Linked DNA regions of Tribolium castaneum. The protein of the gene in region 1 interacts with the protein of each later gene in a pairwise test. Links are inferred from orthologs where the notes say so. Each region holds a gene or a part of one and is shown in the gene's direction. Other genes may lie near its edges.

Region 1 (8,528 bases):
AACTTCCATTTCTTCAACAGTTTCGTTCAATTCCGGTTGAGAAATTGTTTCGTCCACAAACGTTGGAACACTTTCATTCACTGGTTGGGGCAAGTCCAAGACTATTTTTCTCGGTGTTGTCTTACTTGCACTATCATCACCTAAACTATTTGCACTAAGATCAATTGCAGAGTTTGTACTTAAATTAAGAATTAAATTCAACGGATCATCGATTCCCAATTTTTTACAAAACAAAACGGTCTGTGAATTACAAACTGGCACTGGTTGCGTTAAATTTTTAGTCTTATGACCGGAATAACCTTCAGCTGTTTTCTCGAAATTGTTTGGAACCACCAGATCACCAAACAGGTTCAAAGTAAACGATTTTTCCTCCTCGTCTGGAGTAAAGCACCACCTAAAAATTTTTTTTTTAATTTTGAATTGTGCCGCCATCTGTTACCATAGTTACGAAAACAAAAGACAAGTAACCATAGTAACGAAAATCCGTGATTTTGATTAAAAATTACCTCTCATTGCCACTAGGCCCTGGTAAATAATTGGTCACATTTTTAACACTTAGCAGATGATTTGTTAATCTTAAAATAGTCAACCATTCTAGATCGTAACTAATTTCAATTTTTTCCAAATTCGTGTCATGAGGTACATCAACAACTTGCAGAAACCTTCTTTTAGGAAGGCACTTATCTAGTGCAAGAAATTTGGTGATTTTGCCACACTCGTGTGGCACCACTGCGGCAAATTTACAGTGCAAATGAGCCGAAAACCAATAATCTGGCTTCAAATGATTTAGCAATTCTTCGGTTGGTTTGCTACCCAGTTGTCCTCTGCTGATATCTTCTCTAAAAAATTGATAATAATCACAAATTCGGGGAAATCTTGATTAATAAAGAAAATTTCCCTGGTGCCATGTCTTCAGAAACACAGGGAAACTTCCGTTACTGTGAATTACTCGAAAAAAGGTTTAAAACGTATTAATTGCGCCGCATTTCCATATTGCCAGATCCCCGAGGGCCAATCATGTGATAAAAAAATATCCAAAGGTTGAGACAGTTGTTTCAACCGAAAAACTTCCAAATTTCTGATGTGATAAACGCTGCGTTTTGAACTATCGCTGTAAGGCGAATGCTCAAAGTGACCTTTCATGTAATCCTGTCCTTTGTAAATCCCCGAAATGCCCCCAATTCTTAAACCTGAACAAATATTAATTAAAGAAGACAAAGTAGCGATTTTAACCTGCAATATTGACCACTCCGGCATAACCCAAGTAGTAGATGTTCGGGGCCACCCAGCCCCCATATGGCAACTCTTGCAGATAATTGGACGCTTCGTGGTTGCCCCCAATAAAAATCGTGAGAATTGGGGCTGTTTTAATCCCGGTGTAATACCTGAAATTTGGTTATTAACGCAACGAAATGGACGAACTTTGATTACTTGTAAAATGAACAAATGTTGTAGTATTTAGGGGGCACCGCCATGCACCGGAGGTCCGCTTCATTGCGAGAAGCTTGAAAGTCGCCACAACAAATGAGCAAATCGATTTTAAAGCCTTCCTTCTCTTCCAAATATTGCAGAGTGTCGTAAATTATTTCCAATTCGCCGTGGGCACAACCTTCGACCGCAATTTTCATCTCAAAATAATTTTCAAAAAAAATTGTTGGTTAAAAAAATGTTTGACAAGTCCAAGGTGAGGGAAAGTCGGCAGATGGGAAATCTGATATAAGAAAACACTAACAAAAATAATTAATTGTGCGTTAAACACACAAACAAAAGTATACATATTATACGCTGTTGTAATCTCAATGATTAAATATGTATAAAAAAAAACTTGTTAAATAAAATAATTGTTTTTTCATTTACCGTTATTCGCTTAATGTGTACAAAGTGGGGGCCAAATTTCCAACCTAACCTATAAAAAGTCAGTGTCAAAGTTGAAAAACCGTAATGTGAAAGTGTTGCGTTTGCGAGAAACTGTTGTGTGTCATGAGGCGAAAAATGTCGTTGAAGACCGTCGGTATCGTCGTAATTAGTGACGAGGTTCTTTCCGGCGAAAAAACCGACAATACTAGCAAATATCTGATCAAGGAACTGGCCTGTTTGGACTATAGTGTGGGCAAAGTCTCGACAATCAGTGAAAGAGAAGATGTGATTTTTAACGAACTTCATGCACTAATGAGGTCTTTCGACATGATAATAGCCGTTGGTGAGCGATGCGGGGTTATTTACAGAGCACTTGGCAAAATGACCTCACAAGAACTTGAAACTAGTGATGACCTAACTCGAATACTCGCAGAGATTGGCGAGAATTCGAACAAAACTGAGACCTTATTGCCGCGGCAAGCTAAAATTTTGCATTCGGGACACAGTTATCCCGTCGTTTACTTCCAGAGGATTTTTATATTGAAGGAGAAGTTTCTGAAACAGAGTTTCACCAAAGTTTTAAAGAATCATTTATTGAAGTATAGGAAAGAGAGAAACTTGCAAAAAATAATCGAAATCGTTAAAAACGGAAACTTGACAATTGATTTAAATGAATTTAAAACCAATGGTCTCCAACTGGAATTTAGCAAAACTGATAAGTGTTACACTTTCAAAGTGTCGAGTCCAGAATTGCGCGAAATGGTGGAATTTGAGAGGAAAATCAGTGACAGGTTTCAAAATTATAATTTAAAATTTATCGATAATTCAGACGTGTGGGAACACGTGTACTCCAGCAATGAAACACACATCAAACATGCAATTGAAGTAAGTAAGAGGTAAGACAGTGTACCCGCCACTGGTTTGACTCATCGTAGTTGTCACCATGACAATCCCCATTCATGTCCTGCTGTATTACCATAGTTACAGCACGTTTCTATGGCAACTGGAGGAGCCATGTGCGACTCGTCAAATAATTTTGTTTTTTCCAGAACATTGAAGAGTGTTTGCAACAGTACGGTTTAGAGAATATCTTCGTGAGTTTCAACGGCGGAAAAGACTGCACCGTTTTGCTCCATTTGGTTTTAACAGTCGTCAAGAAAAAATTTCCTCAACATTCACAACCAATTCCCTGTCTTTACGTCCAAAGTGAAAGTCCCTTTCCCGAGCAAGACGAGTTTATTGACTTGTGCAAATGCTACTATAATTTGAAAATAATGGTCATTAACGCGGGAATCAAGGATGCTTTGGGCCAAACTCTGGAAAAATATCCAAATTTCAAGGCATGCTTTATGGGGACGAGACGAACAGATCCGTACTCAGGCGATTTGACAGTTTTTCAGGTATTTTTCGTCAAGTTTTGAAGGTGTTTTTGAGAATTTGGTTACAGATGACTGATTCCAATTGGCCTCAAATACTCAGAGTTAGTCCGGTCCTGGACTGGCATTATTCCGATATTTGGGATTATTTACTCTTCTATAAAGTACCGTACTGTAAATTGTACGATTTGGGGTTCACCTCGTTGGGGAACACCGTAAATACGAATCGGAATCCCTCTCTTAAGTGCTACGAGCCGTTTGACGAGGGCGAATTTTACTTACCGGCTTATAAATTACTGAAAGAGGTTAAGGAGCGCAATGGACGGAATACGAGTTGATTTTCGGGGAAAAACTAGCTGAATTTATTTCTGGGGGTGGAAATGTAGCAAAATACATAGATCGTACTTTATTATTTATTGTATATGTTGGTTCTGTAGAGTTTATTAATGTTGTTTAATAAAAATGTGAAATTGTGTTTTATTGGTTGTTTTAATTTAAAATTGGCTCCGGTCAGCGCTGCCAACTTGCAATCTACCAACCTGACAAAAGGTGCGTTGTGTTAGCACTATCATATTTGTTTTTTATTTTCCGATTATTATCGTTATCTTTTGCACGGTCTCGCAGGTATTTGTACCTTTTTGCGCCCTTGGTCACATAGTGTGTTTTTGGCAAAATTGGCAACAATTAATTTTTTACATCGCCGACAAGTCAAATCAACACAAACAAAATGGCGATTATTTTCAGCAAATTTTCAGGTGTCAGAAGTAAATAGAAATAATTAATTTCAGTTTTCAGAAAGGGGGTTTTGTGCGCGTTCAGGTTTCTCGACTAAAATGTTTCCATCGCATGGTTTTTACTAGAATTGTGAGCGGGGTCGTTGAGGGGTTACAATATTGTAACGTCTCTTTGTTTCAGGGAATTTAATGGATCATCAGGTTTATTACCGGTTCGCACAAACGAATGGGGTTCCCCAGGAATCTAAACTAGCAAATTACATGGTAAGGTGTTTACGTAACGTTTCAGTTACGGGATTTTCGTTTGTAGAACATTCAAAATTCGAGTGGTAGTTTGCACCAGTCGTTCCAAAGCAAGTTGAGTATCGAACCGAAAAAACCACTAACGAGTCCCCAATGTGTTGGAGGGACAAGTCTGGTGTCCAGTGCTCCAGGTATTGTGTAACAGCTGGTGGCCTTGAAACCCCAACTGTTTTCTTTTTTCCATGACGCTCTTGGACCCATTGACCTCTCCTAATCTAATCATTTGTTTTCAGCTTCACCCAACATTTTCAACTCTTTCACCCCAACGCTAGACCCTTCGCCCATTCGATGCGTTTCTGACCACCCAGAAAATTCCAGTCAATCAGCTTCACCCAATCGCGTCAGCAGCTGTTCACCCATGTCAGATGTAAATAACATAGCTGTTGCGGCATATCAGGTACTCCAGACCAACCGAAAGCCGGTAATACAGGGTCCGCGTGCTTTTAGGAAAATGTGGGCGGGACAACGTACTTTTACCCAACCACCTCGGAAACTTGTCACGCCACTGATGTTGCTGTCAATAGCAACCTCACCTCGGACTACAATGTGTACCCAGGCACCCCTAACCACATCACTTCACTTAAGGCCAAGCAGGGCGCCTCGTTTTTCATATCAAAGGACCTCCAGATGGAGCTGATGAATCGCAACGCCTTGACGCTCATGCAGGCCAATCAGCAGTACGCAGGTGATTGTTTTTACCGACCGTTGTTTTATTCATGGCCAACTAACATCAATTGTCGATGAGCTCCATTATCACATCTTTCGTTTCCAATTCTCCCAACCTAAAAATTCTTATGAGGCGCCATATCTTCATTAACATACGAAGCAAGTAGTAGATTGATTTTATAAATTGTTTTGCAAGTAAAAAAGCTATTATTTTTATGTTCGGTTTTTTAAGTCGTTAATAGGCCTAATCTTATACTAGCTATCTTTTCTCATAATTATCTTTCACCTACGATGGTTATTATTAGGCTCGAAAACGCTCATAAACCAATAAACCTTCACTGAAACATTACTCACAAACGAGAGGTTTTGTTTACTAGATTTTCCCCAAAATTTCCTTTGATATTTCCTTCAAAATTTCTCCTGATTTTTAAAAAATATTTTTCTCAATATTTTCTCTAAATTCTCTTAATTTGGTTAAGATTTCTCCTAATATTTTAAAATACTGTTTTTTTGTCATTTCCTTAAGATTTTCCTTGAATGTTTTTATAATTTTTCGCCTTTTCTCAAGATTTCCCCTAATTTTTGAAAGGATGTCCCGTCATTTCCTCACGATTCTTCTAATTTTTTTTGTTTTTTTATATTGATTTTTGGCGATTTGCTCTGGTTTCTTCTGATTTCCTCAAAAATCCCTGATGATTTTCCGTGATTTTGTCAGGATTTCCTATAATTTTTCTCCCCTCCAGATCGTTATAAAAAATAAATTAGGAATAAATGGAATTTCGAGTTAGACTCCAGTGATTTTGTTTCCTAGTAATTAATGTTATCTTTTTTTAACAAAAAGCAATAATAATAAAAAATAATAATAAAGCAAATCAGCTTTATTTTACATGCAATTTTTTGAAATGTATCAACAGGACGACTTGTGTTCCTAATGTGTCTTTCAATGTCTTCAAATTAATTTGTCAGATTTCAGCAAAGGCTAAAAATCGTTTAAAGTTTCTTAAAAAACATGTTCATTTTTGTAATTTGTTACAACTTTATATAATTTGCATTTTTTCTAAACATCAAGAAACATGAAAATTCAACTAATCAGTTTTTACTCGTATGTGGTATATGTTAATACGTTAATTCAAAACTTATATTAAAATAACGTTCCATATTCATGTCCAAATTTCATTTCTAGAATATTTTTCTCTCTTTTGATCAAGATATTAGTCTCAAAGGAATGTGTACCTGCAAATATTGAATAATAATTTTCCTACAACACTATTCAATTTTAGTGTTTCTATTTGAATGTTTTTGGTCTCTTATATGGTAGACAATATTTTACTGTACAGGGGTGTACACAAGAGATATTCAGTACGCTATAGCACATATTCCAACAAAATCTAGAAAGATAATAAAAATTCTCTAGATTATTCATAACAGCATTAAAAAAGCAAAGAGGGGAATTTTTTCTTTTAATTTTTAAAATTTTTTTAATCGGCGATATAACCAAGAAAAGGACCAGAAAACTAAAAATATCATCTGGTAATAGTTAAATAAAATCCATAGTTGCAACTGGTAACTACTGTACAACAATTGAAATAGATTCGGTGAAAAGACTCAAGTACTGGGTGTTTCAAAACTATAAAAAAATGGCAACAGCCTACTTAGATTTTTTAAGGTCAAATAGGTCACAAATTTAAACTTTCTGTATTTCCGTGTGATTCTGTATTAAATTGGAATCTAGTGACAAGTTTAGCTTCAGAATTGTCTTAACTACATACAGCTTTCGTGAGTTGTAGACCACTTTGTACTTTTTTTTTAGAGGGTTCCTTAAACGACTTTTAAAACATACCAGAGATCTTATGCACTATTTTGTATACATGTTGTATAATTATTATCGAATTATACTTTAATTTTTGCGATTATTCACTTCTGTTCGTGATTTCTCTGACAAATTTAAATTATCAGTTTAAGATGTCATTTAAACATTCATATTTCTTAACGACTGTAATTGGCTAGATAATTTATTAACTTTATTTTAGTTTAAATTTTTCCGTGCATATGGAGCTAGTTACGGAGAGTAATACTTTTATGTTAGGAGAATCAGTCAACGGATTTTTTGTTTTTGTTGTGTTACGGCCTTAATGGATCAAAGCGCAAATTGATATAAGTTGGCCATGCAATAACACCCGCCATTGATTTGTGTGACCACTACGTTTTATTACCATAGTTACAGCACATTTTTATAAACACTTGGGCGATTTTTTTAAATTTTCAGACCTGCCGCAAGTGGAGAACTACCACGAGTTGTGCCCCCTTGAACGCATCCCGAGCAATTCGCTTCATAAGACCCATTTGGGGTACCAAGCGTCCATGTACAAAGCGATTCATACTAAAACCGGGACACCGTATTGCTTGAGACGGCTGCATGGTGAGTACAGCGATCTGTAATACCGTCTCTAAGTTTTGGTCTAGGATTTCGTCTCCAAAACGCCAAGTGTATGGTGGTGGTCGACTTGTGGAAAAATCTGAATCATTCCAATATTGTACAGTTGCAAGAAGTCTTCACGACTAAGGCCTTTGGAGACAATTGTATTTTTACGAATTTCAAGTGGTTTGAAATAATTGTTATTTGCAGCGTTAATTTTCGTTTATGATTATTATCCCGGGTCGGAGACACTCTTAAGTAAGTATTTTTCGTCCGATCAGCCCGATCCCTTCGCCCCCGACACCTCCCCTAGGCCGTACAGCCACCAGAAGAACAGTATACTGCGGCACCAACAAAACAACAAACTTCCGGAATTTCTGATTTGGAACTACATTATTCAGCTCACTTCCGCCTTGCGTTTGATACACTCGTCAGGTGAGGCGGCGTTGTCTTTAGGACATTGGTTTCAAATTTTTTTATCCAGGTCTGGCCTGTAGGAGCCTTGACCCGACAAAAATAATTATCACTTCGAAAAACCGATTAAGATTGAGTTGTTTGGGTGTGATGGATGTGGTTTTGAACGAAAACAGCGCATCGGTGAATCCCCTAGCCTTAGTCCAGCACTACCAACAAGAGGATTTAACAGCTTTGGGCAAGTTAGTTTTAGCTTTAGCGTGCAAATCGACGGTGGCTGTGCAAAGGGAGAACATATCCACAGCTGTGGACATCATCAGTCGTTCGTACACCAGCGATCTTAGAAATTTGATTATGTTAGTAGACTGAAACAATTGAATTGGCGTGAGTTTTGAGTCGGTATTACAGGTATCTGTTATCGCCACAACAGCGGAAAAGCATCACGGACTTGATGCCAATGATCGGTGCGAGGTTTTACACCCAAATGGACAATTTGCACAGCTATATCGAAGTGCTGGAGTACGAACTGTCGAAAGAGATCGAAAATGGGCGGCTTTTCAGACTTATGGCCAAGTTGGGCACGATTAACGAGCGACCTGAGTAATTATTATTTTTTGTTTTAATTTATAAAGGAGGGCGTTTTTATTGTTTTGAAGTGGCACTATATAGTTTTTTTTTTGTTTAGGTTGAATATGGATGGTGCTTGGGCCGAGACCGGTGACCGATACATGCTCAAATTATTTAGGGATTACGTTTTTCACC
Region 2 (7,658 bases), on another chromosome or scaffold:
TGTACGCAGCCTAGGTACTTAGTTTAGCTTTTTGATGTGTTTGTGAGTTCTTAATTAGACTATAAACAGGAAACTGTAAAACCACTCGTCGAGAATAGCTCCTGTGTATTTTTATGGCTGAGGATGCACCAGGTGGGGAGGTGAAAGGTGACGATAAAATCTGCTGTCATCAATCTACGAGAATTCACTCGGCAGGAGGTATTGTTTGTAAATTTCCTTAGCGCAAATAAATGGAAATAATTGGATTAATATATAGCGTAGCGTGGGATAATTAAAGTAATTGCGATTCAAAGTTGAAGGAGAGCTTTAAGTTATACATAACTGTACTGATTTTTTCAAATTAATCGCTACACTCCTACGTGTTTACATTGCTGCAGTTGGGGAAAAAAGCGTCAAACGGTTGACTGTTCTAATTTAATTCACATGATTAGAAATTAGAGAGTGTTATCGTGAATTCCTTGAAGGATTATTTGCAAGAAATTTGCCACTTTTCACGTGAATAAGTAAACAAATAGTTCATAGCTTCCGGGGACACGTGTAATGAAAGTAAGCCGATTTTGAGATATCATTTACCGGTTTTGCATTGCTCTATCAGATTGAACTAAAATAACAATTTTTTGATACTGGAAAGTCAACAAACTCTTGCGCAAGAAATAATTACGGCCAAACACAAGAGATTCTTTACAATACTACAATGGAACGTAATTAGATTCTAGCTGTCGCTCTTGTATCAAATTAAAACGTAATGAGGCAGAAAATAGGGAGAGAAAATCGTCTTGAGCCATGAATATTAGGATAAACTGAGCTGCAATGGCCACGAAAAAACCATTATGTGTGAGTAAGTGAATGTGGAAACGGGTCTTGAATTTTAATTGCGACAAATCAGACATGTGTTCCCATGAGCCAATCGTCCACCTGACGCAGTATTCATCTTTCAGGCACCGTTTTGCATACCGATAATTTCCTGCGCGAAATAATTAAATTAATTACAATATGCAAAAACGCCAAAGGTTTGAAAAATGTCCCACTTCCGCTTTCACCTCTATTGATGCGAGTTTTTCGCCCGCATAAATTACCGTCCTGTGGCAAATAACACCTTCAAAAAATAACTGATGCGAGTACATTTAATGAGTCAAAAATATTTCAGTGTTTCACCTTTCGCCGTGCATTTTACACAAAATCGTGACTCGGTTCTGTAACCTACAAGACAATAAATACAAGTGATTGGCCGTTTTCAACGGAACATTCGAAGAATATGCGCTGAATGTCTTGTAACTGTACCCAGGATACATCTCATTAGAGCACCTGACCCCGAGTAACTCACCTGGAGATCAGGAGGACATTCGTCCATCAGAAGATTCGACAAATTTGACATTTTTCCGTTTAAACACCAAACACAATGCAGAAGTGATTCATCTTTGATTCGCGTCAAAGAATTGATCGGCGGCGGAAGGCCAATGCGGCGTCGCGACGGCATGCGCCGTCGGCGGTCATTAAAAAAATTACAAGAATTTTAATCACTCTCTATTGTTGTTTTTTCTCAAGCTCTCGGATCGTTAACTTTCACACGGCGATTTTTTTCTTACCTGGTGCTGCATTTTGGTGGGCTTGCTGCGAGCGGCGGCGGCGGAGGCGGCGAAGGCTCCTGCGGCCTTACGCGACATGCATTGCCCCATGAGAGTTCACGCAAGGGTGTTTCTCGAAACCTGTCGAAAACACCGTAAGAGAGAGGAAAAGGGCAAATGAGGCAAGAGTATGCGAATCTCGAGAGCAGAAATGAAGTAATTAGGAGTAAAAGACAATTAGAACCTTGACCAAGCATAACAGTTGGGACGGACTTGTTATAAATTGCTCGCACTTTCTTTTTCATTCTCGTTTTTACGATTGTGCCATTGCCTATGTTAATGGTATCAATTAAATGCAAGTTTAGACAGCTTTTTAAGATTCTTATCATTTCTTGGAAAAGAAAGTAAGTCTAATGCATTATCAAAAGTGGTAATGAAAGTTTCAAACTGGTCTACAAAAGCCGATTTTTCCCATCACCGAAGCTGATTGAGACTGTTGTACTTACAGTAAAAAAAATCGGTCTTTGACGTACGGACTTCCTAATGCAGATGCTGGAAAATTCTGCTCTTTCATTTATCGTCCTTAAGGATAATGTATGCGCATAGTAAAAACCTGGAATCTCCTTGGCGCCTGAAGGTCAGGTCTTTGATTAGTTCAGTCACATGAATGAGATTCCAAATTTTTATCATTCCGGATTTGTAAAGGTCACTCACGCCTACGCGAACATGCCAAAGAAAACACAGTGCGATTTTGCACTACTTGAATCATTTAAAAAACTAAATTAAATTTTTACCTTTCAGAAAATGAAAGCAACTTCGAATATGCATATTCACATACTAAGAAAACTGATGAATGTTTTTAAATTTAATTTGAGCACTATCTCTGTGCACACTACACAGTTTGTTTTAAGGTGAATGAGATAAGCGACAAGTGTTGTAACACAGGTGTTACACCTCCGTGACCGCACACATTCCACCGACTGCACGTAAATGGCAAAAACGTTTCATTACAAGTGCATTGAACATAATTCCCAACCTAACTTCCCATTCCCATCCCATTGAGGACCATCGAGAATACGCAATGTGAATGTGGGGCGCATGCGACCTCGCATAGACAACACCCTATACAGCTCGACTGTCCCAGGCAAAAACACAGCTTTTTATTAATTTATCAGTAGACCCAAAATAATTTTTTAACCAGCCTCTTTGATGGTGTTCACTTAATCTAAAAACTTTGTAGTCAAATTAACAGTTAGTAAGTACCCAAAAACTCACGAAACTGCCACGACTTTATTTATTAACAATTTTTTTTTAAATCGAGAATGGTCCTTTTCAAAATTTTAGAGTTTTCATTTCCTTAGAAGTCGCGATTTTCTTGGGTGCGCGATAAGGTTGCCTTTGGCAAAAGGTAAAAGTACGTAAAGGCGTCAAATTGTAAACGTAAGAGCACATCTTAAATCTAGTGAAAAATTAGAGAATTAAATTAAAAAAAAGTGGAAGATAATGTTTTCTCGAGCTAATTCGCCGACTTTTGAACTGAATGTATTTGCGTTTTAGGTGAATTATTGCAATTATATAGTTTGTAATGTAGATTTATTCAAAAAGTTTGTGTTAAAATATCTGCAAAGGTTGGTCAGTACGTGGGGCCCTGATGGCCCAGTGGTATAAGCACCACTTACGACGGGGGAGGTCGGGGGTTCGAACCCGGATCAGGTGTAAAAAATTTTCTATGAAAAAAAAGTGTAGAAAAGGTAGGTGAAATAAGAAATAAACAAAAATAAGAGATTGAGAAAACACAAACGTAAAGCAGAGCATAAACAGAATTAAGAGAATAATGCGGCAAAAGATAAAAGTACGTAAAGGCGCCAAATTGTAAACGTAAGAGCACATCCTTATAAAAGAAAAATACCTTTTGTTTTGAGAGAAAAAGAGATAAACGTAAACGTAAAACATAACTTCAAACAGTTGTAAAATCAACTTATACGCCCGGCATCTTTTGATAAAATTAGAGAGTTTAAAAATTTAATCTTTAGAGGCTTTTATTTTGCTTATTTTCAAATACTGTTGGTCGCAGTAATGTGTGTTGCCTACTGATTGCTACTTATGCGCTATCTTACAATGGGGCCAAAAACTATTTTTAATCGACCAATAACGTCGCTTCTTTTACTGCTTTTCATACCCCTACCATGGGGGGAGCTGTTGTCCATCAGTTAATTTGACAGCAAACGTTTTCGAGGTTAATTTATATATGTGGTTTATTTGTGATTGTGTGGTTCTGATTTGGAACGCTTGCTTTAACCTTATCAAGTGATTAAACAGTTTGGGGTAAGCGTTTCCAATGCTACTTTTCGGTTTTACTTGATGTTGTAAAACAGCGCAGCCCCCTTGTCTGGCAATAATGACGGGGTGGTATTACGACAAGAAAGAGTTACGAAATACACCCTCGGCCCAGGATGGTATTGATTACGACACCGAAATGCGTTACCGCAAAGAAGGTTTGTTTTTATTAAAGTAGTTTGGTAAAAGTTGACGATTTTTTCAAGGGGCTCGCTTTATTATCAATACTGGGGCCAAAATGGACCTCGGTTATAACACAACAGCGACTGGAGTTGTGTATTTTCACCGTTTTTACATGTTCCATTCGTTCCGCCAATTTCCCCGGTACGTAACAGCTTGCTGTTGCTTATTCCTGGCTGGGAAAGTTGAAGAAACGCCCAAAAAATGCAAAGACATTATAAAAACTGCACGTGGGTTGTTGTCAGATCAGAAATTTGCGACTTTCGGCGACGATCCGAAAGAAGAAGTAAAAAATTTGATTTGCCTTGTAGTTGTGTAATATTTTGTAATTTTAGGTAATGACTTTGGAACGCATTCTGTTACAAACAATCAAGTTTGATTTACAAGTCGAGCACCCTTACAGCTACTTGTTAAAATACGCCAAGTGCCTAAAAGGCGACAAAAACAAACTGCAAAAAATGGTCCAAATGGCTTGGACTTTCGTCAACGACAGTCTTTGCACAACCCTAGCCCTGCAATGGGAACCCGAAATAATCGCAGTGGCCCTCATGTACCTCGCTGGCAAGCTCAGCCAGTTCGAGGTGGTCGACTGGGTGGGGCGCACGCCCAAACACCTCCGCTGGTGGGACATGTTCGTCGAAGACATCACCATGGACCTCCTCGAAGACATCTGCCACCAAGTCCTCGACTTGTACTCGCAACCCAGCACTAGTCCCGCCCCAGACAGCCCCCCGCTGCCCCCAAGACCCACCACCGCCAGCCGCAAGTCGACCAATGGCCAGGAAAAACTCGAAATCCCCGAAATGATACCTCCCATTAATACGAAAATTCCGCCGCCTCCGGACGTCCCCCAGTACCCTTACCAGACGTTCACGGGAGCCCCGCCCCCAGTGGCCGCCTATCCGGCGCCGCCGTACGCAGCACCGCTCCCGGCTCCGCCAGGACCACATTTAGCAGCGCCGCCCCCAGGGCCACCGCCACATTTGAATGCTCCACCGGCTGTCTTTCCGCCGTATGTCACGCATCCGCCACCTTTTCCGCCGATGGGGCCACCGGCTGGGCCGTATTATCAGTTGACGCCGCCCCCAGGACAACACCCCCCAAGACCCTACTAGGTTTTGTGGGTTTAAATTAAGTGAAAGACTGGTTTAATATATTTAGTGTTTATTGTAAAAAAATGCGCAACAAAATTAGTGAAATACATTGTTTCAATAAATTTGGTGTTTAAATTAGAAGAATGCACAACAATTAGTTCCTTAGCTTTTCTTATGTCTCGTTATCATTTCGTGGCATCCCTTTTCTGGGGTGTTGCCAGGCCTTCTTCCACGTTTACCTGGGGCGCCGGTATTGCTTCTTCCACCTCTACCTCTTGCCCCTTTTGGGGAATCACTCAAGTTGGTATTATTCTGCTCTGTGCCTTTCGGTGTTTCTTTTAAATTTCCAGTGGTGTTGGTTGGTTCAGGGCCCATATTTACGCATCCATCTGTCCCTTTATCGTTGGCTTGGGCCTCCAACATTCTGTCTCGCTGTGCTTTCAGCCTTTTATGTTCTTTTTCCAACTCAAATAGTCGCTTTTCAGCTTCAGCTAGCTGGTCAATGAGACCTGACGTATGTTTCTGTACAGCGTTTTGAACCCTTGATATCATACTATTCCCTGAAGAGTCCTCCACCTCACTTTTCACTTCACTAATAATCTTCACGAAAGTTTGGGATACGGGGTTGGGGGTTTTGTATGTATTGTTAGGATCACTCAAATTCTCAATGCGGAAGCGCAAATATTCCAACTCATTATTACGATAACGCACAAAAGTCTGTCTCCACGAATGCGTAGACCTATTCTCAGAGCTTTCCTTAATCAACAGGCAACAAGTAAAGAACTCTGGAGGCGCGCTGAATAGATCAATAAACTGCTTGTGCAAAATACGGTCGCGAAATGTGAAATCAAAGCCAGATGCAGGTTTGTACCTGTACCACCCCAAGACACGCGGGGTTAAATCGCCAAGAAAACTCTTGATTTTTTCCACTGGTAATTTACCAGCTTGGTTGTGAAAGTAGAAAGGTTCAGGCCAGGAGAGGGACCCATTGAAACGGATTTCTCGCGAAATGTGGACTTGTCTCAAGTCGTTATCGGTGATTGTTTTTGTCTCCTTCTCGACGAGTTCGCCTAACAAAAACCCCACCTGGAAGTCGATTTTTATTAATTTGTAGAGGCATTCAATAAATTTACTTGACAATATTCACTCTTCGTATTGTCACGCAGGAGGAATGAAAATGCGGGGCCCGAAAAAATCAGTGAAAGCGTCTCAGTCATTTTAATGTGTTAAATCTAACACAAACTAATATTTTTTATTTAATAAACACTGTGATAAAAAACAAATTTAGAGGTTATATTTAAACCTCCGATGTTCGTAGGGTGCTATGTGCATAAAGTCTTCCGAGAACGCAAAAGCGTTAGCGTTAATTACCACTTAACCAATAATTTTAAAGTAGGTAAAGTATCTTCTTTATTATGTTTATTTAAATTAAAAGAACGTCTAAAAATCAATAGTAAAAGGCCGTTTAGGACTTCTCGCACATTAAGTCGCAAGCATACTTTCTATCCATAACGAGCGGTTTATTTAAAATTATTAGGATTGCTACTTTTATTATCATAGCAGAAGTGCACCGAGGACTGTACAAGCCGCCTTAAAGAAAACTTCCCAGTTAGTTTTTATTAATTATTTTATTTTAAAATTGTATATACATAACAAAATTTACATACTTAGGTTAAGGCACTGTTGACAATCACAATAAATATGTTTATTGCTCGCAAAAAGTTAAAATATTTAATTATATACACAGCCATTATTATAATTTGATAATTGGAGAGAAGCAGATGAGATTATACAATACGTATTTTAAAAAATGATCGAATTACATAAATAAAAAAATCTAAAGTGGTAAACATTACAAATAATCAGACTTTAATAAATACTATTTGAGTTTAAAACACGAATTCTACCAAAAATCAAGATTACATGATTAGCTTTTTTTGGACAAAAATTGCAACTTAATCACTACAAACAATGAACACAGCAAACCACAAAGTGCTAAATAAGACGCGTCTGTTTCAAATAATGTATTAACAGCGAATAAACAAATCTATATTGGGCAATCGTTTGTATCATGTACGCTCTTTGATGCCGCAACAATTCCACGACTCTCGGCACACAAACCTCCTAAAAGTGGGAAAAATAAACCAACGAAAATACCACACTCCAACTCACTTGATTATGGTCAACTGTGTACAACAAAAGATCACTTAAAATCGTCAGTCCGGTCCTGCCCACCCCAGCCGTGCAGTGCACCAAAATTGGGGGATTTTTATTATGCCCGGGTGGTATTTCACCCATTGAGTGCTGATGCACCGACTGCATTTCCTCAAGGAAGCCCAAAAAATGGGGCACCGAATGGGGACACCCCTGATCCCCCCAGTCCGTGTAGTGCATGTGCCACAAAGTGCGGTATCTCCGAGACGTCACGTGGCATAAGCGCACTTTACTCGTAACACAATTGCCCGAATTTTGCGAAAACTGC

Evidence for each region. The genes of interacting proteins can lie anywhere in the genome.
Region 2: the proteins of PAN3 (region 1) and CycK interact in a two-hybrid assay, tested with the Drosophila melanogaster proteins (3 studies listed by BioGRID). The link is inferred for Tribolium castaneum from reciprocal best matches to the Drosophila melanogaster genes PAN3 and CycK.

What each region holds. Positions count from the first base shown.
Region 1 is NC_087394.1:25,731,052-25,739,579, forward strand, and holds the start of PAN3 (PAN2-PAN3 deadenylation complex subunit PAN3), read left to right. Parts: upstream 1-3,764; 5' UTR 3,765-3,782; exon of another isoform or gene 3,783-3,857; intron 3,858-4,021; 5' UTR 4,022-4,097; intron 4,098-4,148; 5' UTR 4,149-4,156; coding exon 4,157-4,231; intron 4,232-4,277; coding exon 4,278-4,401; intron 4,402-4,503; coding exon 4,504-4,667; intron 4,668-4,717; coding exon 4,718-4,955; intron 4,956-7,202; coding exon 7,203-7,355; intron 7,356-7,399; coding exon 7,400-7,516; intron 7,517-7,562; coding exon 7,563-7,787; intron 7,788-7,836; coding exon 7,837-8,122; intron 8,123-8,174; coding exon 8,175-8,366; intron 8,367-8,451; coding exon 8,452-8,528. Other genes in the region: ldbr (lariat debranching enzyme), read right to left, coding at 1-394, 507-839, 950-1,190, 1,234-1,385, 1,432-1,628; FAD synthase, read left to right, coding at 1,981-2,742, 2,907-3,257, 3,305-3,571. UniProt on the Drosophila melanogaster protein: Regulatory subunit of the poly(A)-nuclease (PAN) deadenylation complex, one of two cytoplasmic mRNA deadenylases involved in general and miRNA-mediated mRNA turnover.
Region 2 is NC_087397.1:5,733,624-5,741,281, forward strand, and holds CycK (cyclin-K), read left to right. Parts: upstream 1-3,732; 5' UTR 3,733-3,890; intron 3,891-3,940; 5' UTR 3,941-3,963; coding exon 3,964-4,060; intron 4,061-4,108; coding exon 4,109-4,368; intron 4,369-4,417; coding exon 4,418-5,197; 3' UTR 5,198-5,298; downstream 5,299-7,658. Other genes in the region: uncharacterized protein LOC100141942, read right to left, coding at 1,587-1,676; BRISC complex subunit Abraxas 2, read right to left, coding at 5,339-6,262, 6,310-6,393; Pez (tyrosine-protein phosphatase non-receptor type 21), read right to left, coding at 7,172-7,300, 7,349-7,658.